Cricetulus griseus: one gene and its partners. The protein of the gene in region 1 interacts with the protein of each later gene in a pairwise test. Links are inferred from orthologs where the notes say so. Each region holds a gene or a part of one and is shown on either strand. Other genes may lie near its edges.

The links.
Region 2: the proteins of Gfap (region 1) and Abi2 interact in binary tests that used the Homo sapiens proteins (3 or more experiments, as listed by UniProt). The link is inferred for Cricetulus griseus from reciprocal best matches to the Homo sapiens genes GFAP and ABI2.
Region 3: the proteins of Gfap (region 1) and Pdlim1 interact in binary tests that used the Homo sapiens proteins (3 or more experiments, as listed by UniProt). The link is inferred for Cricetulus griseus from reciprocal best matches to the Homo sapiens genes GFAP and PDLIM1.
Region 4: the proteins of Gfap (region 1) and Zc2hc1c interact in binary tests that used the Homo sapiens proteins (3 or more experiments, as listed by UniProt). The link is inferred for Cricetulus griseus from reciprocal best matches to the Homo sapiens genes GFAP and ZC2HC1C.
Region 5: the proteins of Gfap (region 1) and Trim27 interact in binary tests that used the Homo sapiens proteins (3 or more experiments, as listed by UniProt). The two-hybrid records come from large-scale screens. The link is inferred for Cricetulus griseus from reciprocal best matches to the Homo sapiens genes GFAP and TRIM27.
Region 6: the proteins of Gfap (region 1) and Cwf19l2 interact in binary tests that used the Homo sapiens proteins (3 or more experiments, as listed by UniProt). The link is inferred for Cricetulus griseus from reciprocal best matches to the Homo sapiens genes GFAP and CWF19L2.
Region 7: the proteins of Gfap (region 1) and Nxf1 interact in a two-hybrid assay, tested with the Homo sapiens proteins (3 studies listed by BioGRID and IntAct). The two-hybrid records come from large-scale screens. The link is inferred for Cricetulus griseus from reciprocal best matches to the Homo sapiens genes GFAP and NXF1.

The regions. Positions count from the first base shown.
Region 1 is NC_048600.1:115,230,590-115,232,944, reverse strand, and holds the end of Gfap (glial fibrillary acidic protein), read right to left. Parts: coding exon 2,269-2,355; exon of another isoform or gene 1,196-2,268; coding exon 1,110-1,195; exon of another isoform or gene 543-1,109; coding exon 501-542; downstream 1-500.
Region 2 is NC_048595.1:414,643,676-414,647,612, reverse strand, and holds the start of Abi2 (abl interactor 2), read right to left. Parts: upstream 2,801-3,937; 5' UTR 2,654-2,800; coding exon 2,537-2,653; intron 1-2,536. UniProt on the Homo sapiens protein: Regulator of actin cytoskeleton dynamics underlying cell motility and adhesion. Functions as a component of the WAVE complex, which activates actin nucleating machinery Arp2/3 to drive lamellipodia formation.
Region 3 is NC_048596.1:21,316,375-21,320,669, forward strand, and holds the start of Pdlim1 (PDZ and LIM domain protein 1), read left to right. Parts: upstream 1-1,495; 5' UTR 1,496-1,612; coding exon 1,613-1,708; intron 1,709-4,295. UniProt on the Homo sapiens protein: Cytoskeletal protein that may act as an adapter that brings other proteins (like kinases) to the cytoskeleton. Involved in assembly, disassembly and directioning of stress fibers in fibroblasts.
Region 4 is NC_048598.1:118,485,549-118,489,048, reverse strand, and holds the end of Zc2hc1c (zinc finger C2HC domain-containing protein 1C), read left to right. Parts: intron 1-2,703; coding exon 2,704-2,967; 3' UTR 2,968-3,438; downstream 3,439-3,500.
Region 5 is NC_048596.1:243,527,678-243,531,931, reverse strand, and holds the start of Trim27 (zinc finger protein RFP), read right to left. Parts: upstream 2,801-4,254; coding exon 2,381-2,800; intron 1,264-2,380; coding exon 1,168-1,263; intron 1-1,167. UniProt on the Homo sapiens protein: E3 ubiquitin-protein ligase that mediates ubiquitination of various substrates and thereby plays a role in diffent processes including proliferation, innate immunity, apoptosis, immune response or autophagy.
Region 6 is NC_048597.1:118,136,824-118,139,755, reverse strand, and holds part of Cwf19l2 (CWF19-like protein 2), read right to left. Parts: intron 1,557-2,932; coding exon 1,455-1,556; intron 1-1,454.
Region 7 is NC_048596.1:51,336,284-51,340,563, forward strand, and holds the start of Nxf1 (nuclear RNA export factor 1), read right to left. Parts: upstream 2,801-4,280; 5' UTR 2,646-2,800; coding exon 2,618-2,645; intron 1-2,617.

The DNA of each region.
Region 1 (2,355 bases):
CTTAGTGGCCATTCCAGGTAGCAGGTCTCCCCACCCACTCCTAGATCAGTCAGGGCTATTCTGGAAACAAGTCTCTGGCTAGAGCTACTTTGCCTTGGGACCTCCCCTTTCTGTCCGACTTTCTGTCTTCCTTCAGCAGCTAGTGGAAACTCAAAGTCCAATTCCCAGAGACCATCAGCTCTGGCCACAGTTTCCATAACAACAAGGATGAAGGAAATGATTTGTTAAGGCTCCCTGCTCTGCCCAACTTTCCTCTTTCCTTCCAATTCTAACCCAGCTGCTGGCCCCTCCCCTCCTGACTGCCCCTTTGGGGTGAGTATCCTGTTAGTTGGAGGCACAGAGTATGTACCATCTGTCAGCAGTAAGGACTGAGCCCCGGGCAGCAGACAGGCATAAAAACAGAGGGAAGGGGAATGCTGATGTTGAAGGGAACAGGGCTATCTGAGGGGGAGCTCTGGGCCCTTCACACTGTCTGGCAGGGGCCACCAGGTGGGCACACCTCACATCACATCCTTGTGCTCTTGCTTGGACTCCTTAATGACCTGCAGGGGACAGGGAAGGTGCACAGTGCACAGTTAGGGGTGACATAGCTCCCAGACCCACCATGCTAGGCTGTGCATCCTGAGGCAAGCTCCCAACTATCCTGACCTGTCCTCCCTTGACTGTCATTGTAATTGCATCATGCTGAGGTCCAATTGGGGTGTGAAATGCCACTTGTAAAGCATCTAACACCATGCCTGACACTATGGCACAGGAGAAGCTATCTCTGTTGCCACCCCAACAAATAGAGAAGGCCATGCATGCTGTGTCTATCTCCTGTTCCCATTCCTCTCTGGAAAGCTCCTTTGAGTAAGATTTGAAGGCCTTTTCTTTCCCTAACTGTCCCAGTCAGAGCTGAGCCATCAGGAGGCCTTGGTACCCGGGTTGCCCTTAACACACCACCTGAGGAAGGGTTGGGAAAGGAGAATTGCATTCAAGGTCAATCCCTTCTTCCAAATTTCCATTGGGAGCCCCGGTAGTTAGTTAATAGGGACCTTCTGTGAGCTAGTCCCAGGCTTTCTGCAGTCTCGCTTCAGGAACTCCTGGGGGCAACCAGAGCCTTTGCTCACCTCACCGTCCCGCATCTCCACCGTCTTCACCACGATGTTCCTCTTGAGGTGCCCTTCTGAGACGGACTTGGTGTCCAAGCTGGTTTCTGCAGGTGCGAGGAGAGGAGGCCTCAGTGGGCTCTTGGGGCACTAAACAGCCTGTCCTGTATCCAGCTTCCCATCATGCACCCAGGGGCATGAATACAGGGCTATCTAACTAGGTAGGGAGAGGCTCAGTTTGCCCAAAGTGGCTGGAGACTCCCAACTGCCCCCCAGCACAGACACATCTTACTGCTGTCCTGTAGCCCACGCGGCCTTCTATTCTGGCACCTGGCTTCCTGACAACCAAGGGCTACATCAAGATAGAGGCCTCAGTTTCCTCTCTTACAAAAAGTGCTCACGGTGCCTACTTCCCTGGAGATGGTGATGGGGTGACTAACACATGTTAACATGTGCCACAATTAGTGATTAATACGTGTGGGACCCTTCCCCATCCTTACCTTTTTCTGTCACTTATCTGGACTCTAGTGGCCCTTGACTGTCTAGAATTTGGCACTATTACTTTTACCTGGTCAGCATAATTAACTTTCTAATGCTGAATTACATCTTGAAATATGTATGGCCAATATTCCTACGTGAAATTTCCTCCCTGCATCTAAGAATCACTTAAGGGCCACATACCAGTAAAAAGTAATTTGGTCCATCCCCCTTAGAGAGGAAAATAGAACATGTCACACTCAGTAATATTTAAAATGAAGAGCAGGGAACATAAAACTTTATTCACTACAAGAGCAGCAGTCCAGAGGGAGCTAATCCTCTGGGCTGAGTCAGCATTGAGTGAAACAACAGAGCCTTGGGGACCCATGAATCAAACACAGAGCCTGCCCAGAGGCACTGCAAGACCCAAGGGGACCACCTAGTGACAGCAAAGAGGTGAGGCAGAGGCTGGCATTTGCTCAGCAGGAACATTTACTCCCAGGGACAAGTCCCCTTTAACATAGGCTAGCTCTGTTGGTATAACCTAATCACACATAGCCAGGACGGGCTTGGGACTGAAGCTTCTGGAGAAAGGTCCCTGTCCTTTAGAGGAGGCCAAGAGGAGTGGGGAAATAGGCTTGATGATGCTCTCTCCCTGTCTAGCTGGGATAACACACAGCTGAAAAGCAGGCATCTATCTAACCGAGAGTTGGCGGGGCTGCGTTTACAATCTGGTGAGCCTGTATTGGTATAACTTGTACTGTGAGCCTTTTGAGATGCCTTGTGACTT
Region 2 (3,937 bases), on another chromosome or scaffold:
CAGACAGCATCAGGACCCCTGCTGGTCAGTTCTTGAGTCAAATGTACAGCTGGGTCAGCACAAATCAACTATCACCAGTTCTAGTTATCATGTAAGAAGTGTCACCTGGGAGAGCACAACTGTAATAAATCCAGTGATTCCCACAATAGAGGACAACCTAAGCAATCAAAGTACAAACTCTACTTCAGGTGCTAAATTGAAAACAGATGATTCAAAATTCAAAATCCATTTCTAGGAAATTATTATTTGTGCTTTTACCGTGGGCTCAGAGTATAATTCAGGTAGAGTATATTTTTAACACGCACAAGACCCTAAACTCAATCCCCAACACCAAAAATAAGTACGTAAATAACATACCAATTTTGACACTTCTCTTTCAGCTAGAATTATAAAATTTAAGACAAATGCTGATTTTACACTTTTCCACTAGATCAATTCATGTATGCTTCCCTTTATGTGGCAATTATAATCTAACATAGTAGCATTAATCTTCCAAAGACAGACAAACCTGTTTCTTATTAGTCGGCTACAACTACAATCCTATCACTTTTCCATCCCCCAGTTTCTCTTCTGACAGACACTTTCCCACAATATGCTACATGAGGCAACAGAATTAGCACTTTTAGGTTTGCCTCTCCTAGCAGCTGTGAATCCCTGAAAATAAGCAAAACCTCCCTACCCACAATCCACTACAAAGTATAAATTAACTATACTTGACTTTTCCCTCAGTATCCAATAGGGATCAGTTCTAGAACACCCCCCACACCAACACCACAGCCCCATCCCAACATCTCTGGATACTCAAGTCCTTTACATAAAACTGCATATTTACATGTTATCCATAACACATCCTCCTCCATATTTTAAATCTACAGGTTACCTACAATACCTAATAAAATGTAAATGCCCATTAAGTGTTAACACTATCTTTTAGGGAAAGACAAGAAAAACGTCTCTTTGCATTTATACAGAGGGAGTATTTTCACTGATCAATTTATTGAATCACAAATGTAGGACCCTCCAACAAGAAGGGCTGACGATATATAGTACTAATATGGGTTTAATTCGCTCACAGATCAGCCTCTTGAACTACATTATAAACCCCTGAAGACTTTAGGAGTGTACCATCAACAGTTCTGGGCCAAAGAAGACTGGTGAAGCTAAGCAATAAAACCTTTTAACTCCTACACAGCTCTGTATTAGCAAGTATCTTAGGGTTTTGATTTGTTTTTAAATCAATCTGTAACCAAAGTCACACTTTCTTCCTACTGAACACACATTTTCAACTCCTTCTTTGAAGGGAAAAGGATTCCATTATGTCAGATTCATTCCCCAACACAAATGTTTGCAACAGTAGTAGAGTTCAGTACATGTGTAATCAATGAAAAACCTAATGACATTATCTCTGATTAACCATGTGGTCCCCAGAAAACTTATGAACCTATAAATTATAGAATTTTTAATATATACAATTCATACTAACTACTGAGAATGCTTTCCAATATAACTGGTTACGATAAGGGTATCTGCAGAGATGGGAGTAGGAACAAGAATGTTTAAAAAGGGCTAACAGCTTAACACCCTGCTTCCACTTTATCCAGAGAACATAAACGAGGCACAACCCAAAATTCCGTATATGCCCTACGGAAAACAAGAGATACTGGATTTGAAAATCATTAGTTAATTTTTAAAGCGTTGTTTTAACCCATAAGATTTTTAACATTCATCCATGACCAGCTGGTTCTCATCTCACCAATGTCTTTCCCCCACCTTCTCACCTTCCTACACACACCCACTATGAGTCCCGGTGCCAAAGCAATCATCATGGGAAAAAAACTAAGGTTCATTTTCGTAAATCTTTGTGAAAAATAGTCATAGTTCTTTTTCCCATAGGAAAATGACCTATTCTAACGGGGATTGGGGAGGAAAAGCAGCCCATCATCGGGCAGTTCCCCATTCTCTGTATTGAGAAAAATGCCATTAACTTGTAATAAGGGACGCCGTCCCACTGTGTCCCCTTTACAACCTTAAAAAAAAAAAATTAAACTTAAGGGTTAAGTATTTTTGTTTTGTCTTCAGGGGACATTCCCAGGAAGGGAAAACCGAAGCAATTCACTTTGCAGGAACTGGACCCCTTAAAAGCCCCTGGGAATTGGGCAGGAGGTAACATATCCCTCTATCACACACAACCCGGCCATCCGAGCAGCATTCCGTTATCTACAAAATGCCACTCGCCACCTCCTCCGCCGCCGCCCGGAACCCTGACAGGCGAAGAGTGCGGGGGCAAAGGGGCAGCGATGAGGAGGCGGGCCGCCACACACGCACGCACCGCACCGCGGACCCGCACGGGGCTTCTGGGGCGTTCCGCCGAGCCCGCTTCCTCCCGCCGCCGCCGCCGCCGCCGCCGCCCTCGCCCGTCCCCACCCCGGCGCGGCTCCCCGGGCCGAGCACCGCGCGGCCTCCTCAGGCGGCGGCGCCCCGCGCGCCCCGCACACTCCCGCGACCTGACGCGCTCAGCCGGGGGGACGCGACGCACCTGGATGTAGTTGTTCTCGCAGTAGTCGGCCACCCGCTCCAGATTCGTGTAGCTGTCGAAGAGGGCCCGGCGGCCCCCCGGGATTTCCTCTTCCAGCAGCATCTGCAGCTCCGCCATCTTCACATCCTCCTCCTCCTCCGCCTCCTCATACAGCCCGCAGAGGCAGCGGCCGCGACGCCTGAGAGAGGAGGAGCAGCGGCGAGCGCGGCGGGAATCGGGAGGAGCGAGCGGCACCCCCAGCGCGCGGCGGGGAGGGCGGGAGGGGGCGGGGGACGGAGGCGGGGGCGCGAGCCGGCGAGAGCCGCGAGGACGGTCACCGCGGCGACGGGCGGGCGGGCAGCGCGGGCACGCGCACGCGCGCTCCCCTCCCTCCCTCCGCCCCCGGGCTCCCGAAAAAGATTCCCACCCGCGCCGCCCCTCCCCCACTTCCGGCGTCTCCTAGCGACGGCAGGCGGGGGCCGGGATGCGCGCGGGAGCCGGGCTCCGGGTTAACCCTTCGGCCCCGCGCGGGCTTCCCGGCTCTGGAAGTCCCTCCGCTGCCTTTGTTAGCCCGGCGGGAATGCGCCGCCGCCGCCCCCATCCTTCACCTCGGTGCTATCCGCCCGAGGAAGCTCTCCAGGCCCCTCCGGAGGCCTAGGGAGGGCACGTTCACTCACACACCCTCTGTGAGAGGTCACACTTCATCAGGGCAGCCAGAGCCACTGAACTTCCAGGTAGCTCTAAATGCCACCTTGGACCTCATCCTCTCCTTTACAAAGTAAATTGCAGTCACCTAATCCCAAATCTGTTCATCATTCATTCATTCACTCATTCATTCATTCGTATTCCAGGTCTCCCTCTCTCCTATCTTTTTTGCAAAGTCTCCCCGAAGTAGACCAGGCTGGCTGAAATTACAAGTATATGTATGCTGTGGTTGCCCAGACTGGAGCTCCTCCTCTTTCTTGACTTTTTTTTCCCAAATTTTCGATGGTGGTTTTGCTGGTACTAATTTCATTATTCATATGGTTTGGGCATGAATAAAATTAAATGAGCGCACATTGAAAGATGTTTAATTAATACAATTCAAGGTAGTTCAACCTGATCTTGCTTGTAATCCAGATGTCAAATCTTTTTTCATAAATATGATTACCCCACATGGTGAAACTTGAAAAAAATAAAATAAAACTGGCATCTTCTGAGATATTGAGGTCACTTTTATTTGTTCTGTGGAAAACCCAAAGGGTACCATCTTAGAGGGTAGTTCAGGATTTGTGGCTTCAGCCTTTTATTGCTCTTGCGGTCACTGGCCCTTCTGCAATCAGTTTTCAGATGGATGAGGAAACAATTATACATTCCTTAAAAAAAAATAAAATGCATACCATCACACATTTGTGGAGTAAACCCTGTGTTGTTTCATTAGCT
Region 3 (4,295 bases), on another chromosome or scaffold:
CAACACTACTGACAGAGTCATTGCCCTAATATAAAATAAACAGACTTTTTCAGTAATTGTTTGGCGTGTATACCTATTATACATACCTATATACTTGAGGTAAATTTGTTCTGGGTGAAAAGGAGTTGAAAATGGAAAAAGTTTGAGGAGATCTGATCTAGAAAACCGGGATGAAGTTGATTACTAAGAATGAACTAATCATTCCCGGACACAGGCCTTCGTGCTGGGAGAGAGGCCAGATGATCCTTTCATGTGTAAATCTGTATACAGAGCGCCACAGAAGGTTGGCCAGAATGGCAAGGACACAGGAGCTGTTCATTTTACAGATTCATTCAACCTGGGTCCAGCTTCCAGAATGAATGGGACCGAGAAGAACTGTGGTGTCCAGAGGGAGTCAGTGGTCTTGGAGTTGGCTAATCTATCAAGTGGTGGTTCTAGCCTGAGAACACAGCGACTAGCAGCTTGCCAGAAAAAAAAAAACAAAACAAAAAACAAAAACATTTCCAGTCTTGAAACTAGTGCTTAGGAATGTGGGTGGGACAAACAGATAAGTAAACTGTAGACTGGATAGTGACAGGAAGAAGGTTAAGGCAGGGGAAGACAGGCGTTTTAGAGAGGATGTTTAAATGGCTCTCAGAAACGATCTTAGTAAGAAGATGGTATCTGTACGAAAAAAAGCCTTGGCATGTCTGAAGGAAAAGGGTATTCTCGATGAAGGCCTGGTGGTGGCAAGGCTCTGAGTAGGAGGCCTGTGTGGCTAAGGTTGGAACGTGCTTCTGGGGTAGTTCACAGCAGAAAGGGTTAGGAAGCGTTCCAGGCATTGGTCCATCCAGCACATCAGGACTGAGCTGTTGGGAAGATCAGAACCTGCCTCCGTTTCCAACTCTAGCCGGGAGGAAAGGTTTCTAGGAAAGTCCTGGAGCCTAATTATAACCCCCTTCCCCGTTATAGACTTATTAGCATTTGGAAGACTTCCAGGGTAGCACAAGGAGCCTGGGAAGTGATTCTGTAGCAGCCCCTAATTGCTGTGTAGCCTTAGGGGTGTCTTTTATCGTCCGGTAGCCTCAATTACTTCATCTGTAAAATGAGACTAGAGAGCCTTCTCATAGCGTCACGAGAGATCGTTGAAGGTACCTCTTACACTTCCCTATAATGTCCAAAAAGCAAAAGTGAAAACGGCTGTGACTTCACTCAGCCCTTTTCGGCTTTTTGCAAAGCACACTGCGTGGGTTTGTAGGACCCACCGTGAGTAGGGACACGGTTCAGGTCTCACCCAGCCCGCACACCCGGCTGGGAGCCGCAGAGCGGCTGTGGGTAGCGCGGAGGCGACGCGGGAGGAGGTGCGGGGGTGCTGGGCGGAGCCGCAGAGCCCGACCGGGCGACCTGAGTCTGGCGAGGTACTGTGAACGCGTTGGGAGTGGAGGCTGAGACCGGGCGGGGCTGCAGCGACACGGTTGAGGGCGGATCTGTCCCCGCCCTCGCTCGCGTCCCCGCCCGCTCCAGGAGCTCCCAACCCGCGCGGCGCGCTCTTTCTCCGACAGCTGCTCTGGGAGCTCTGCGCGCCCTGCTGTTCCGTGCCTGGCCCGTCTGTCCCCTCTGATTGTGCCTAGCGATGACCACCCAGCAAATTGTCCTTCAGGGCCCGGGACCCTGGGGTTTCCGCCTCGTAGGCGGCAAGGACTTCGAGCAACCTCTCGCCATTTCCCGGGTAAGAGTGTCCTGGGACGCGCGTGGGAACCGGGCGCTTCGGTAGGGTGGCGGCGCTGCGCCCGGAGGGGAGTCGGGGAGGTTGGAGCCCGCGGCGACCGCGGCGGGGCACATCAAGGTGCGCTGTGCTCTGAGCGCTCTGTGCCATCCGCTGTCCCTTCCCCGCCACTTCGCTCCGGGGCAAGCGGGCTCCTTGCTTGCCGCGCCAAGGCCAAAGACAGTTTTCTTTCTGCGCCCCGGAAGCGTGGCATGGCACGCAGACGCTCTTTGTGCCCGGGCGTGTAGACTTGGAGCTCCGCAGACCCCGCGCGCTGGGAGTTAGCACGCCCTGTTCTTCACAGTGGAAGAGCTGGGGAGCGCTGATTGGAAGCAGCAGAAAGTCCTGGAAGGTGAATGGGAGTACAGAGGAGTTCCCTGGAAGGCGAGTGGGATTCTTTTAGCTAAGAACTGAAACAACTACTTTACACTCTGAAGGTCTGACCCCATAGCTGCTGGCTCTCAGCTCTGTAAAGCCTTTCACAGGAAACAGCGGAGTTGGGAAGTAACCCCAGATAAACCTTCAGTAGACTCGCTCTGCCTCAGGTGCTTAGATCACCTTTCTGTCCTCCAGGTTATCTGTGATAAGTTCATTTCCTCCTGGAAGAGTAGTTCCAACCCTGTGTGTGGTGGCGATGACTGAAAACCTCTTAGCTGGGCCTCATCTCCGGGAGGGCTGGTGGCCCATCACAGACTGCTAGACTTGTGATCCATAAATGAAATGTAACCCCCTGTGAGACTAGGGCTCAGCATTTGAAGGTCCACACTTTGGGTATGTGATCTGGGCCAAACAAGGTCTATTTCCCAGTGATAGTCAACGTTTTTTGCTCCTTCAGATAGAATGGGTGTGTGTGTGTGTGTGTGTGTGTGTGTGTGTGTGTGTGTGTGTGTGTGTCTTACTAAATATCTTCTGATTAAGGAGAGAGGGGGAAACTTCAGCAATGCTTGGTCTAGAGGGACCACATTCTATTCTTTGGTACGTTTGCTTGCTGAAGCTGACCTTAAACTTGGTTCCCCAGTTTTGGAAATACCCCTCTTTTCTTAGAGGGATTCTGGGATGGAAGTAGAAGCTAAAGATCCTAATGGGTCCTCTTGACGTAAGGCCATGCTTCCAGCCCCTGAAGGAGATGGATGGGAGTTGCAGAAGCACTCCTGGCTCCCCTTGGCCTTTCTGCCAGCCGCAGGGCCTGCAGCTCAGGCTTTCTTACAGGTGGGCCTGGCTCAGCAACCAGCTCTTTGACTATCCTACTCCAAATGAGCAGGCAGCCTGGTTTTCCCCTTGACCATGTCATCGTCCAGAGATTTCTTTGTTATTGGAGATATGAGATGCTTTCCCACCCTCCAGTCAAACTTCTCAAGTACGGGAACTGTGTCTTAGCCAACCTGACCTGTTAGACTAAGCCTGGCCCAGGACTGCACCTGACTGTTCCTAGTGTGTCCTTGCAGACAGAATGCAAATGCTTCCCTATGGAGGGCACTGCCTCTGCACATTTAGAGTTGGTTACCTCATAGGCCAGTTGTTCCCGCTCTTTGTGTCTATAATTAACCTGTCAGTCCTCTCCATTTCCAAGAAACCTTCTTTTTAAGCAGGGGAGGATACAGTGGCAGTCTGTTGGAAGGGTAGTCTTGGCTTGTCATTTGGCTGCTTCTAACACCACTGGGAAAATAGCACAATGGTCCATCCGGCACAGTGTAGAAATGAAGCTGGCATGGACTGGAAAACACACCGAATCCATTGCTTTGGACCTTCATGCATTAATTAATTTTACTCCTTTTTATTTTGAAATAGACTCTCATGTTGTATCTCAGGGTGATTTTGAACTCTGTATGTCGACAAGAACTTCTGATCTTCCTGCCTCCCACCTTCTGAGTGCTGGGATGTGTGGCACATAGCGCAGGGGATTGAACCCAGACGTCATGCATGCTAGGCAAGCACCCTACCAACTGAGCTACATCCCTAGTCCATACTCCACACTCATGGTGAATGAGCACATGCCAAATGCAAACTCCTCAGACCTGACAGGATACAGCTCTAGAGGGAAGCTAATCTTCATTATGCCTTTGGCAAGTGTTTTAATTGAAAAGTGAAAATGACTCAGAGACATTGTCATTGTGATACTGGCTATAATTTACTTGCCTCTTCACCTTATCACTGCCTCTGTTCACCTCTTGGGACTGAGAAAGTGATTGTCATTAAGAGAATGTGTCATGGGTGGTCTGGGATCTGGCATTGGTCTGGAGTCTAGTTCTTGTCCAAGCGGTACCTAAGGTAAGCACCCAGAGTTTATTTATTTTTTTAATCACTGCAGTGGGGTAACAGCAGCCCTTGGCTACCAGTTGAAGAATGTCTAGTGCTCTGTAAACAGAGCATAATGGTGAGGAGCGAGCATTGGTAAGAGCTCTGCCCACCTTCTGGCTGCTGTGTGCCACATTTATTATCCTGGGCAGATACAGTTTGCAAGTACGTTTTTTTTGTGTAAGTAGACTTGCAGGCTCCACACCAAAGCAAACCATAAAATTAGGCAGGGAGAGGAGTGCCTCTTATTTAAATA
Region 4 (3,500 bases), on another chromosome or scaffold:
GTTTTAATTGCCAAAGAACAAATGTAATAAAAGTCATAAAAATAGAAAAGAAACATTTCATGATTCTTCACTTTATTGGAGCTTTAAAAAGTATTTATTTATTGTGAGTTCTGCTTGCACATATGCCTGGAAACCAGAAGAGGGCACCAGATATCATTACAGATGTTTGTGAGCCACCATGTGGTTGCTGGGATTGAACTCAGGACCTCTGGAAGAACAGCCAGTGCTCTTAACCTCTGGGCCATCTCTCCAGCCCTTTATTAGAGCTTTTAAGATGTTATTTCTTTCTAGCTTTTATCATCCAGTGTTTACTGTTGAGAAATCTAATGTTTTGATTCCTGCTTCATTTTATGAAAACTATTTTGTTTCATTTCCAAAAGTCAATACTGTTTTCTTTACTCTAAAATTGTAAGATTTTACAGTGATTGCTTTGGAGTTTTGGTAAGTCATTTCAGTTTCAAGACTTTCAATCTTCGATTCTACAAATATTAATCATATTGTTTAATAACTTACTGTGCTTTCTGTCCTTTGTGGAGCAAATTTGTTCACATGTTGAATGTTCTGATTTCCCTTTCATTTCTACTTTCCATCTGCTCTTTTTTTTCCATTCTGAGAGTTTTTTTTATTATCTTGTAATGCTTCTATTTGACTTTTGACTACCAGGCTTTTAACTTACATTTTTGTTATTTTGTTTCTCTGTTCATCTTTTATAATACACTCCTTTTATATACAATACCTTTCTTGTAGTCGGGCAGTGGTGGCGCATGTCTTTAATCCCAGCACTCGGGAGGCAGAGGCAGACAGATCTCTGTGAGTTTGAGGCCAGCCTGGTCTCCAGAGCGAGTGCCAGGATAGGCTCCAAAGCTACACAGAGAAACCCTGTCTTGAAAAACCAAAACCAAAACCTTTCTTGTTTAAAATATTTATCTTATGTATGTGTGTGTGTTGCCTGTGTGTATGTCTGCACCATTTGTGTGCATAGCCCAAGGAGGGCAAAAAGAGGCATGGGATCCCCTAGGAATGAAGGAATGAGTTACAGAGTAATGTGAGTCTCCATGTGGGCTCTGAGAGTCAAACCTGGGTCCTCTGTAAGAGCAGCTAGTGCTGTTAACTGCTGAGCCATTTCTATACTCGGGACACAATATCTTTTCATACTTTATTAATGTTATTTTCTGTTAAAATCTGTTAAAATTTCTCTCTCTCTCACTTTCTCTCTCTCTTCCCCTCTGTGTGTGTGCATTTGTGCATGTGCTGTGTTTCAGTTTCCTCAGTTTTTGTTCTTGTGCTTTGGGGAACCTTTTCTCTTTAGCTAAGCTCTCATCAAGGATCTGACAATCCTGGCCTGTCATTTGGTGGTTTTGTTTTTGATTTGAGGCAAGATCTCACTATTTAGTCTTGGCTGGCTTTGAGTTCACAGAGCTCCTCCTGTCTCTGCCTCCCAAGTACTCGGATTAAAAGTGTTCACCACCACATCCTGCTGTTCATTTAAGTCTTAGTTTATTCACTAAAGGACTTCATACTTCCGTGTACATCATACATACATACATACATACATACATACATACATACATTCATACATACATAGAGTCCTGTAATGTGGTCCCCCAAAGCCAGTGTTAGAAGGTTCATTTCTTGCTACTGGGTGAATCCAGAGAATTGTTGTCCCTCCCAAGAGGATGACAGTCACTGGCACTCTGGGAGCTGATCTTAGAAGGCAATCTGACAGCTTCGTGGTTGCTGGGCACCCTTGCTCAGGCTTCCCCGACACCAGCGCTGAGGCGAACCCTGCTCCTTATCCTGTCTGGATTTTCTGAACTAAAATCCATCTAGGATTGGAGAGCCATCTCAGTGGTTAAGAGTGTTTACTGCTTTTCCAGAGGACCTAAGTTTAATTTTCAACACCCACTTCAGGTGGCTTACAACCACCTGTGACTCCAAGTGATCTGATACCCTCTCCGGCCTTCAGTTTTGGGCATTTATACACACACACACACACACACTCTCTCTCTCTCTCTCTCTCTCTCTCTCTCTCTCTCTCTCTCTCACACACACACACACACACACACACATTCTCTCTCTCTCTCTCTCTCACACACACACACACCTCTCTCTCTAACACACACACACACACACACACACACACACACAAAATTAAAGTTAAAAAAAATCTTTTAAGGAGATGTAGAGATTGCTCAGTGATTAAGAGCAGCAGCTATTCTTCCAAAGGACCACGTGGCAGCTCACAACTATCTGTAACTCCAGTTCCAGGGGATCTGATGCAGGCAAAACACCAATGCAAATGAAATAAAAATAAATATCTTTAAAAACTATTTAGTTCATTTTTTCCAGAGAACAATTTTTCCTCTCTTATCATGGGAGGGTACTGGGGATACTGGGCACCTGGATAAACAGGGTAGGAGAGGAGCCCCAAGTTCATCTTGTTTTCATCCCTACATCGTCCTCCTTTCTACCTGACCCAACAACCCTCTCAGGGGACCTGGCAGGAAAATGCCTGGGCTTCAGGTAGGACCCCTCCTTGGGGGCCTTGGGTCAGGCCTCAGTGCTAGTCATCACTCTTCCCCCTTTTCTACTCTTTGGTCTTAAGGACCTTTTTTACATCCCTACTGTTGTCATCATCATGGAGCTCCAGAGAAGGGAGAGATCCATGGCAGCAGAAGACTCAATGTTCCTTTCCCATTACAGACTGAACCTCCTCGGAAGAGCACCTGGAGACAGAAGCATGAGTCTTTTATCCGTACCCTCCGCCACGCTCGCCAGGTCCAGCAGGTCATCGCCAAAGGTGGGAACCCCTCAGACTTGCCTCCTGTCCTGCCAGCCGAAAACCCAGACTATGTCCAGTGTCTTCACTGCAGCCGCCACTTTGCTCCCAAGGTGGCTGAACGACACATACCTAAGTGTAAGACCATCAAGAACCGTCCTCCACCTCCAAGGAGGTATGACAGCTGAGCAGACAAAGGCAGAAAACTGCCTTGTGTAGATCAGGAGGCTGTGTGTACCTTCAGCAGTAAACCAGAGGAAGCGATAGAAAGCAAGGGAAAAAAAACTTTTCCAGAACTCAGGATCTGCCTGCAGAGCAAAACTGCCCCGGAGGAGAGCCTGCTACCTGGCAGGAGGCAGATGGAAGCCCCAGTGTCCCACTGGGTCATAACCGTGGCTGTGTTTATGTTCTTGCCTCAAGAACTGGTGTGTAAGGATACTGGATAGTGAGGCTGCATTAAAGCTCTTGTCTCCTGAGTCTGACCATGGTTTGTGCTGGGGAAGTGCCTGTATTTAGTTGTGTTTTCTGGCCATGGCACATATCCAGGGTTTCTGTTAGCCCTCTTGCTCTTCAAAGTAGGGGTATAAGGATGAGTAAGTTGAAGTCAGAGAGTCATTGTCATATGCACATGTTAGCTCTAATAAAAGATAGCAAGATTCTGCTGTGAGGTATTATTAATGGAAATCTATCCTTGGCCTCCATGACACATGGTCCTGGCTGA
Region 5 (4,254 bases), on another chromosome or scaffold:
AAAAAAAAACCAAGAGTTCTAACAAAAGAATTATAAGTGTGCCAGTGCATACCTGTAATCCCTGTACCTGGAGAGACTGAGCAAGGAATATTGAGAGTTCAAAACATCTCTGGCCTACATAGTGAAATTATCTCTAAAGAAATAAGCAAATGGCTCTAGAACAGTCAAGAAATATTGTCCTTGAATCCAGCCACATCCATTCACTTATGTATTAGACATGGATGCTTTTGAGATATAGTAACTGGGCTGTTTGTGTAAACCCACAAAGTTTAAAAATACTACTGGCCCTTTTTAGAAAGTTTGTCAAACCTGATCTGAACTCAGCTGTTTCAAGTGCTCCCCCATCACACCTCTAGCCAATCTTCTTAGGCACTTATCAGGCATCTTCTATCAAGCACTTAGGCACGCACACGCACGCACCCACCCCCCCTTTGGTTTATAGACCCTTTCGATAAGCTCATACCTCTTCTCAGCTGGGTAAGTCTTTCAAAGGCATAAAGCATACAATGTAATCTTAGATGTACAAAATTAAAACTAAAAGAAACCTTAACGATCATGTTTCCTAAAGGGTGTGACTAACACCCCTACAGGAACAATTTGCCTGGCATAGGTCTGTTTCTTGCTGTAAAACACTTATCAACCTTGTCCCACATCCCCACTCAGTCTTTGACTCCGCCCAAAACAAGCCATTTACCATTTCAAGGGCAGAAAGGGCAGCACTGGCCTGCTGGAGAACCACAGGTTTCATCTGACCTCTCTGTTTCACAAAGAAATGAAGGCCCAGAGAGGCTGTACCACCTCTCCATTTAAACTGGCTAAGTGTCAGAGCCAAAAAGAAAATCCAAGGTTCTGGATTCCTAGAGGCTGTCTCTCTCTGGACAAAACCTCCCAGAGACCTGACATTGTTCTATGTGTAATTTCAGTTTACTCAGGATCATTGAGAAGTTTCCTTCATCCTATTTTCAAGCAAGGGGTGACAAGGTCTCATTCAGCCCTACATGGCAGAGCTAAGTGGTGGGACTGACAGACATCATGTGCTGTTTGGAAGTTTCTCACTGCACCCTGGCCAAGACTGAGACTTCTCAAGGATTACCAGAGACTGCTAGTAGTTCAAAAGTTTACTGCCCAGATGCAAGGCCTCTGCAGGGTGGAGATCTGGACCCTTACCAAGAGCTCAGCTCTGGCTTGCTCCCCCTGTGCCCGGCGTCTCTTCTTCAAGTCTTTCACTCTTCTTAGATGGTCCAGCCGATTCTGGATTTGTTCCTGAAGAAAGCAAACAGTTGGGCAGTTGAAGATCATGCAGATTCCAGCATCAGAATAGTTACTCTGTGTATCACACGGGAACCCAAACTAGAGGTGCCAAGGCCCGGCTGCACTGTCCTCAGACCACAATGCCACTCCGGGGAAGAGCCCAAAGCACAGGGGCCAGCACAGCTCTGCTTTAGTGATTTGTTTTAAACTCTGAGCCACCTACCAATTCCTAGATGGGTTCTGCAGAAGTTATGAGACATCTGGGTAAGGAGGCTCAAAAGCTAAGGTGTACCTCTTCTTCGGAGGAATACAGAGAAAATTATTTATTTATTTTCCTCACACACAGAATCAGTAAACATCACTTCTCCAAACTACGACTCATCACCAGTGAGTGAACTGATACAGCTCTGTAAATGGAACTGACATTTGGATGAACTCACATTTAAACAAATACAATTCTGTTTATGTGTGTATTATCTCTGCAGCCCTCAAAATAGACTCATTGTCACTTTAGAGCTCCTTTATAAGTAACATTTTTGCATTACTGTGTAGCCGTGCCAGTGTTTATTCAACAGTTCACAAAGGCCTCTTCAGGTCTTGTGAGTTCACTTACTCTTCATAACAACGGTTATCTCCCGAGTCTCAGAGTGGCTAAATGATTTACTCAAGTAGTAAAGAACTGTGTTCATTTCCATTAGCTTCTAGAACAGGTTACAGGGAAGTGCTGGGGACATAGATTAAGTGATAGGCATTGCTTGATGTGAACTCAGCCAGCAAACAGCAACTGTTTAGTCTGATATCCCGGGCCAGATGAGTTCGAGGTCTCCAAGGCCTACCAAAGTGGACAGGGCTCGATGTGCATCTCCTTTGTCAAAGGGAGGGTCTCCTCGCGCCGGTCCCTGCCCCGCACGCGTTGAGGCAGTTAACAGGGGGTGCTGGGAGAAGGGATGGGGGTGGGGACGCATCTGGCCTCGCCAGCTACAGGTTCTCCTTCCGAGTCTGAGTGCGGAGGCCCCGCAGCCGACAAGGAGGAAATGACGGCGCTGGGCCCCACGTCCGGCTCGCCATTTTCTCGGCGGCAGGCCGGGAAGCCCCCGGCTCGCCCCTTTGTCCGCCGGCCCGGCCCTACCTTAAAGCCCTCCACCGCCTCCTCCAGCGGCAGCACGCTGTGGCCACGGTGCTCCCGCGAGCGGTCGCACACCACGCAGATGGGCATCTGGTCCTGCTCACAGTACAGCTTCAGAGGCTCGCGGTGCTTCTCGCACACGCCCATCTCGCCGCCGGGCCCCGACGGCCGCTCCGTGCGCAGCTGCTTCACCAGCTGGGTCACGTTGGCCAGGTGCCGGTTGGGCCGCATGTGGCGCTGCGGGAAGGTCTCCCGGCACTGCGGGCACGACACGTTAGTCTCCGCGGCACCCCAGCAGCGGGCCAGGCAAGCGCAACAGATGTTGTGGCCGCAGTCGAGCATCATGGGCTCCACGAAGTACTGAAGACACACGGGGCAGGTGGTCTCCTGCTGCAGGCACTCGGCCACGCTCCCGGAGGCCATGGCGCGGGCCCACTGGGCCGCAGGGCATGAGCACGGAGCCGAGCTCTAGCGGAGCCCGGCGCGCTCGCTCGGCTTCTCCGCTCCGGAGCGGGGCGGGGCCTCCGAGGCCGGGATCCCAGACGCGTGCGGAGCTCTCGGGCGGCCACGTCAATCCCCGCACAGCTGCACCCCGCCGACAGGGAGGGAAGGCCTGGGTCCCGGAGCCCGGCAGGGGGCCGAGCAGAGGGGTGCCGGGAGCCGGGGGCCGCGGACTGGCTCACAGGGCAACGTGGCCCCGTCGGAACGAATCCCCGGGCCGCGCAGACTCCTCAGGGCCGAGCGGAAGAGGTGGACCGGGGGCGGGGCCTGGCTTCGCGCGCCACTCTCCTCCCGGCCAGAAGGCGGGTTTTCTCAGCGCTGTCCTGGAGTCCCCAGAGCCGGAGGGAGACCCGGCACCCAGCCTGGGGATCGGTGGTGGTGGCGGCCCAGCGCCGTGTGCGCAGGGTGCCCCGGCCGTGGGGTCTGCGGGACCGTAGTCTTTTGTTGGGCTTCCTCTTAGTGCCTAGGCCTCGGCTCCTTTAAAAGTCTGATGGCTTTGTATAAGTGCTGCGAAGCCGGGCGGGGAGGCCCGATAAGCCCCTCCCTGTGTGTGAAGCACTCTGAAACACACCCAGCTCCAGGCGATTACCAATTGCTAGAAAAAGATTGAATTAGCAGCAACTTTTCTGAAGGGCAGAAACTGAGAAGCCCAGGTCTACTTCCACCGTGAAGTAAGTGGGTTTACCGTCCCGAGCCTTCTTTTCTTCTGATGTGAGGTGGAGATTGTTAGAATCCGGACCAGGGCGCTGATCATCAGACCCTGAAACCTACTGAAGTCCTCCCCGTTCCCCCTAGCATCCCACGGAGCCATCCCACGGAGAGCCCGCTTTTGAGTCCCTATCTTCTTAACAGGCTCCCTAAGTGCCCAAATTTCTCACTTCACCAAGCCAGGTTGCCAGACCAGACGTGCCAAAAGGGCTAGATGGCGACACACCTCCCTGCCCTCTTCCCTGCCACCTGGTGAGGAATCAGCCTAGCTGCAGGTTCCTAAGAGACCCTCTAAGGACCCGGATTCTGCCACTTGAGCCTCGTTCTCAGAATCCCCCTCCCCCGACCCCACCCCCAGGCCTGCTCCCTATGGCGCCGGGGCCTGAAATTCTGAGAGTATGCGGTGCTGTGTTCCTTCCGCACTTGGCGTTAATAATTCTAGTAATTTCTTACTCCCAACAATCCGCTTCAGTGTCCCCCTTGAGCCACATACTCTATGTCTTTCAGGGATATACCCCAGCAAGGAGTTGTATTTTTTATTAATTCATTTTTTACATTCCACTGTTTTGTTTTTTAAGTTTGAGCCATGAAGATGTTTACCCATTAGCTTAAGTAAAATACCCAGTGCATTGGATAGCATTGAGTAGAACCTAAAAGTTGCTTGTTTC
Region 6 (2,932 bases), on another chromosome or scaffold:
TGAAACAATGGGTCATAGTGATGTCCTTTCCTCTGGAAACACATTTTAAGACTATGAATCCAGAGCTATAAATTGAAAGCTAAAGAGCAGTTAAAAATCTCTAGGGAACAACAGGATTGTTCAAAGCAGTGAAAACAAAGTTTTTGAGTTTTTGTTTTTTATTTGTTGTTGTTAATTCTGTAGAAAAATCAGCAAACTTCTCAAACAGGGGATAGGATACACCTAAGTTGGTAGAGCAGTAGAATGCAGGCCAGACATGCATGAAGCTATGGGTTTGATCCACAAGGCTGTGGAAAAACAGGCATGATGGTACAGTCCTGGAAACTCACATCAGGAGGTGGAGGCCGGATGAACAGCAGTGCAAGGATATAGTTAGCTATGTGGTGAGTTCAAGACCAGTCTGGGCTATGTGAGAATATTTAAGTAATAATTCAAAAATGCATGTGATTTTGGAATGTGCATATTCATTTAAGGCCAGCAGCATAGTGAGTTCTGGATTGAAACTAATGGAGCTGTTTTCTCTTGAAACATCCCAATTTCATTGTAGAAGATTATCTCATGCAGATGAGAGCAGGGCAGAGGGGGAAGCAGGGTGGGAAATTATGAACTCTCAGCAGAGTTTATCAAGGCTGGTCTCTGTAGAGGCATAATCACAGAAAGGTGATACAAGAAGGCTTGAGCTAGGCCCAGATTCATTTTTGCCAATTTCACACACTACATTAATTTCATTCCAGTTCCTGAAGAGAATTTAGATACTTAGTATGTAGACCTCTAAATTTAAGGAATATGCTCTTATGAAGGCATTTTTTTTTCCCCCTGAAAGAAACTACTGGTAATCAAATGATGGGGATTTTCATACGTGCCCAGAACCTAACTGTGAAATGAGTTATTTATTTTTCCTGGATTATACCTTAACTACAAATGAAGAGCTAACACCATTTATTTTCTGTATTAACCATCACCTGTGGTACCTGGGTCCTCTCACTTAGCACATAACCCTAGGGAAATCACAGAACCCCTTTGCAATTTAGAGTTTTCCTATCTTCACAACAAATGTTAGAACAAAATCTAGACAGTAGAGTAACTGTGAGCACTAGATGGCTGCTTAGACAGTAGATGGGCACACTGTAAGCCCTCAATAAACATTAGCAAATAACATAACTTTCAGGACAAAGCTGACTCCAAAGTTAGGAAAACATTATAGTTACAAAGACTGAGCGAGCACAATGTCCAAAAATGTCTGTTACACAATGAAATTTCTGATTGGCTAATGAATATTCTGGTACTTTTTTCTTTTATTGTTAATATCACACACACCCCCACACCCTTCTCTGTCAAACTTGTATAGAAAACAACTCATCAAATTCTGTGATTCAAACTTTTTCTTTCACAACCTTGTGAAAATATTAACCAAACCACTAATCTTCAGGGTTTTATCAAATTTCTGAGTATACCTTTCCAAAGTAACGAGGAAATTTGTGTTGATCTTCAATGACATGGGCAAATCCTCCCTGAAGGCCAAAGTCTACAGCAAAGTAAGGCAAGCCTCTGGGCACCTGAGTAAACAAAAAATTACATATGAAGTAGGAAAGCTATGCCTTCTCCAATTTTCTGCCATGAGAGAACTAATCATCATCCATCAGGAGGATGTGTATGACAAATTTCCAATGACCTAACTTTCCAAGGAAAAGATTTCACTCTGATAGCCTTTCAGCCAGACAGAGCTTCATCAAGTCTAGCAATTCACAATCAAAACAAACACTTTTCTGTTCTTGAAGACAGTAGAAAAAAGGTATTCAAATATTTTTGTAGTGCCAAGAAACAATTTTTCTACAATTACACAAATAAAAGTATGTTTTGTTCATATTTTACTTAGGAAGAGAACTTGATCATATATTTGTGGCTGTGTTTATACACTTATAAAATCTTCAATATGATAATATTTATTAAATATAAATAAATTTATAATTTTTATTTTTATCATTACTAGTGAGATAAAATAGCAATATTTACTTTACCAAGTTAATTTCACAATACATTGGGATCAGCTCTCTATTATCCTTCTATTCCTCATTTTACACACACACAGACACACACACAGACACACACAGACACACACAGACACACACAGACACACACAGACACACAGACACACACAGACACACACACACACACACACACACACACACACACACACACACACACACACACACACACACGGGAGCGAGGGAGAGAGGGACAGAGAGACAAAGGAAGAGTTTTAATCTCCATACTGATTGAAAAGAGCTATAATTTCTTGTTTTCTTATCTGGCAGATTTTGCATCTTTGTAAGTTTTTCCTCTAAGTCCCAACTTTTAACACTAGAAATTATCGAGGTTGGTCAATACACAGTAAGTTTCTCCTCTAATACCATCTCAAAATCAACATGACTCATCTGGGCACTGATCCACATATTGCTATTTAAGTACACACAACTGGTATTAAATACTTAGGAAGGCACAACTCAGAGTATGAGGTACTATATGGTACAAACAGAAAAGTCCTCTTTAATCATTATAAATCAAATAAAATTATTGACAACAAAATGCTGCTCATTTAACAGGAAAAGGAGGAAGTTAAAAAATCAGTCTACAAAGTAGTATAAGCATAAAAAGGCTGCTTCATATATTTATATTTTTCTGTAGTTTTGTATTTTTAGATAATAGTCATGTATTGACAATTGAGAAAAAATAAAGTAAAAACAGATAGACAAGGTTTTATGTAGGCATCTGGTCTGTGGACCTGAAACAGTAGCCACACCCCTTTGGGTGTGGCTTCAGGCAGAAGGAATTGGAAAAAGAGGAGCTTGAGATGTGGCTTTTCTTTGTGCACTTCTTTCTGGTGGGTCAGCAGATCCCATAGGAAGAGCAGGGAAAGGCTCTAGTGGTTCTT
Region 7 (4,280 bases), on another chromosome or scaffold:
GGCACCCCTGAAAACCACTTGAAATTTTTGATCTTTTGCCTATACATACAAATGAGGGCCACAGAGCCAGATGTGGGAAACAACTGTAATCTCAGCAAATGGGAAGTGGAGGCCTCAATTACACAAGTTCAAAGCCATCCTGGACTACATGATCCTGTCTCAAAAAATGAAAAAAAAAACTTACAAATATGACCTATTTTAAAACCACATAATAGCCAGATGGTAGTGGCTCACACCTTTAATCCCATCACTCGGGAGGCAGAGGTAAGTGGATTTTCTGTGAGTTAGAAACCAGCCTGGTCTACATAAGCTAGTAACAACCACCACCTCCTTGCTCTCAAACTGTCCTTCTGAATTTGGGCAATGCTCATTTCTGTGAGCAGAAGTGACTGCACCTCAAGGGACTTCTAGATGCAGGATCAGCTGGCAGTTCCACATTAGGGTCCTGGAGTGTTTTCTAATACACATGTGTCCGAAGCAGATCTCTGAGAGTTCAAGGCCAGCCTGGTGTACAAAGTGAGTTCCAGACAGCCAGGGCTATTACACAGAGAAACCCTGTCTCAGGGGAAAGAAAAAAAAACAAAAAACAAACAAACAAAAAAAACAAAAAAAAGGAAAATGAGCTGGACATAGGCAGGCAGATCTCTGTGAGTTTTCAAGGCCAGCCTCATCTTGGTCTATACAGTGAGTTCCAGTCAGAGCTACATATTGAAAAAAAAAAAAGAAAGAAAAAGAAAAAAAAGTAAATAAATGAAACCAAGTGCAGTAAAATACTGTGTTTATGTTTTTTAAAATTTTTTCTTTTTTGGTTTTTCAAGACAGGGCTTCTCTGTGGCTTTGGAGGCTGTCCTGAAACTAGTTCTTGTAGACCAGGCAAGTCTCGAACTCACAGAGATCCCGAGTGCTGGGATTAAAGGCGTGAACCACCAACGCCTGGCCACAGTATACTGTTTTTAAGGCAAGAGGATCAGAGGGGCTCAAGGTCACCCTCCTCTTTGTAGAGTTCAAAGCCAGACGTTGTGTATAGGTTTATATGTATATACATGTAGGCACTAACACAAAAGGAGACTGAGGATCAGCTCAGCTGGTAAAGTGCTTACCTTTATCCTTCACACACACACACACAGACTGAGGTTGAGGCAGGAGAATTTGAAACTTCAAGTCAGACTGGGCAACTTAGTGAGACCATCTCAAAACAACAACAAAAAGGATGAGAATTTAGCTCCATGGGAGGGGATTGCCTGGTGTATGCAAGGCCTAGTGTTCATCTAGCACAAAATAATAAGTCTCGTGGTACGTGCCTACAATACCAAACTTGGGAGACTTGCACTGAAAGACTGACTATGAGGCCAGCCTGGGGTACTAAGACTGGCCCTATAAGGGAGAATTAGTCTTCAACGGGGATGAACTCCCTAAATGGTTATCCAAGGCCAAATGGTTAGCCTTAAAAATAAGTACATGCTAGCTACACTAAATGGACTCAGGTTGTATGAATTTGGGGAGTGGGTAGACATGAAAGTAACTGGAGGGAGATCCTGTTAAAACACGTACATACATACATACATACATACATACACACATACATACATACATACATGTTGTTTGTTTGTTTTTTGTTTTGTTTTATTTTTCCAGGCAAGGTTTCTCTGTGGCTTTGGAGGCTGTCCTGGAACTAGCTCTTGTAGACCAGGCTGGTCTGGAACTCACAGATCCGCCTGCCTCTGCCTCCCGAGTGCTGGGATTAAAAGTGTGCACCACTGCCACCCACCATATAATTATATTTTAGTTAAAATAAAGGTTCACTGGGCTGAGGATTTTTCAGACCCTGGATAAATCAGCACCACACAAACACAAAAAGGTTCATGACTTCCAAAGAAATCTACCTCATATCTATCGTCCTGTAAACAATGACCCTCACCAAGTGACTCTAGTGAAAACACAGTGCAATTAAGGTTCACTGAAAAATCTTCACTTCCAGCCACTTGACAGAAATTATCTCATACACACACACACACACACACACACACACACACACACACACGCACGCACGCACGCACGCACGCAAACTTGGGAAGACAAGATACCCACATGAAAGAGGCGGAAAACAAGGCCTGAAAGTTTAACTCCGTCGGGGTTAGCAAAGCCAACTCCAGATTCAATCACCTGTCATGCCGTCCTAAACACCACTATGAATTAACCCATCAAGGTAATTGTTAGAACTAGGAAACTGGTAAACATTAAGGAGCAAGCTGAAAGACCAACTGATCGCGTTAAAAGAAAAAAAAAAATAGGGCACCAAAGCAGCCCACGAACAAGGTACTACTGACTCACATTTAAAGGACGAGTCGGGCCGCCAAACTCAATTGACAGGCATCAACCACCCTCAAAGTTCAAAGGAATCTTGTCACCCCACCCTGAGCCACAGGTCCTCCAACGCCAGAATCCGGGCGACTCTGGAGCCCCTGTGTCCCGCGGCGCCCCATCCTTGCCCGCGCGGCCACCGCTGCCCACGGACACAGAACTCCTCGCGGCCTCCCGCCCCCGGGCTTGCGGCCTAGGCCGGGGCCGCCCACTCCGGCCCACCGCGCCGCCTCCCGACCCGAGGCCCCGAACTAACCGTTGTATGACTTCCCTTCGTCCGCCATGGCACAGGCAGGTACAGGGGAGGGCTCAGGCGCAGAACCTGACGACACCAAACGCCCAGACGTCTTGGCGCTCAGGACTGAAGCGCTCCTACGACCGGCGCCACCGCATTTATCCGGCGAAGCACGTCGCGCGCCGCCGACGTCCCCAGGATGTGGGCGGTGCCGCGGGGCGAGAACGCGCTCTCTGCGCCTGCGCAGAAGCAGGGCTGCCTCCAGAGGGCGGGGCCAGGCCCTTCGAGGCCCGCCCACGGCCGTAGCTCGGGGCGCAATGGCTTGTTGGCCGTCTCTGCCTTCCTGCTTCTCCACTGTCCCAGTTGTGTCGGGGTTTGCTCTGGAGTTGAGCGGGCTGCTTTAGCCCTGAATTCTTGAGAATCGGGGACCAGAGCCACACAAAATGAAGACCTAGCCTCTGAGTGGGAGTAACGGCTCACAGTCTCCGTCGGTGAGATTCCCGGCAGCTTGTAAGTCGCAGCTCAGCTCCTTGACAGCCGCACGCCTATTCCCTCCCAGCTTTCCTCGCCTCTACGATGGATTGTGACGAAATAGAAAATTGGAATGTAAGCTCCACCGGAGCAGGAACCTTAACTAATGCACAGCTTCTCTTCCTCCAGCCCGCCTGGCTCAGTACCGAGCCAAGTGTGAAACCTGTGTGAATTAAATGAAATCCTGTCTCTTTTAGGCCCTCCACAAATTGTTAGGAAAACAAAAACAACCCCTCCCCACCCCCCAAAAAACCAGCATCAAGTCCCGCATGATGGCGCACACCTTTAATCCCAACATTTGAGTGGCAGAGACAGGTGGATCTCTGAGTTTGAGGCCAGCTTGGTCTACATAGAACTTTCCAGGACAGCCAGGGCTATGTAGAGAGATCTCGCTTCAAAAAATCAAACTGGGCATGGTGGTTTAATTCTTTAGTCCCAGTACTTGGAAGTTCAAGGCCACAATTGTCCATACAGGGAACACCCTGACAGCCAAAGCTACATAGACAGACACTGTCTCAAAACAAAAATAAAATGCACCTGTCAGGGACATAGTGAGCACTGGTCTTTACACTCGAGGTCCTAAACACCATCATCCCTATTAGGTAGACCCAGATCAGCTAGGTGGACAGGGAGTCAATAGTAGTGATTGGATTTTATTTTTGGGAGTGTTTCTCTGTGTAGCCCTGGCTGTCCTGGAACTTGCTCTGCAGACCACATTGGCCTCAAGCTCAGGAGATCCACCTGCTTTTTCCTGCAGAGTGCTGGAATTAAAGGCGTGTGCCAAGAGCTCTTATAGATGACCTTCAGTGTGACTAGGGCTGACCCTATTATGGCCTGAGATTCCTGAACCTGCTGGGGGCGGGGGAGTAAGCAGATGGGACATCCATAGGCATGGAGCAATGACGTCAATACTAATCAGGGCAAAATAGCTTATTAACCTTCCTCCAGAGTCTGTGTTAGGTGGGTTGCCTCCATTTTTTCAGTGGCAGGTTTGGATTTGCTGAGGGTCTTAGAAGGTGCCAAAAGCTGGGTCCAAATTCTCTTCTGCTCCCAGCAACAGAGGTCTTGCTTCACTGAATTCAAGAATCAAAGCCACGTGATTTGCGAATACAGATGGAAAACAGGCCCCAACATAGCTTGAGATGTCCTAGAA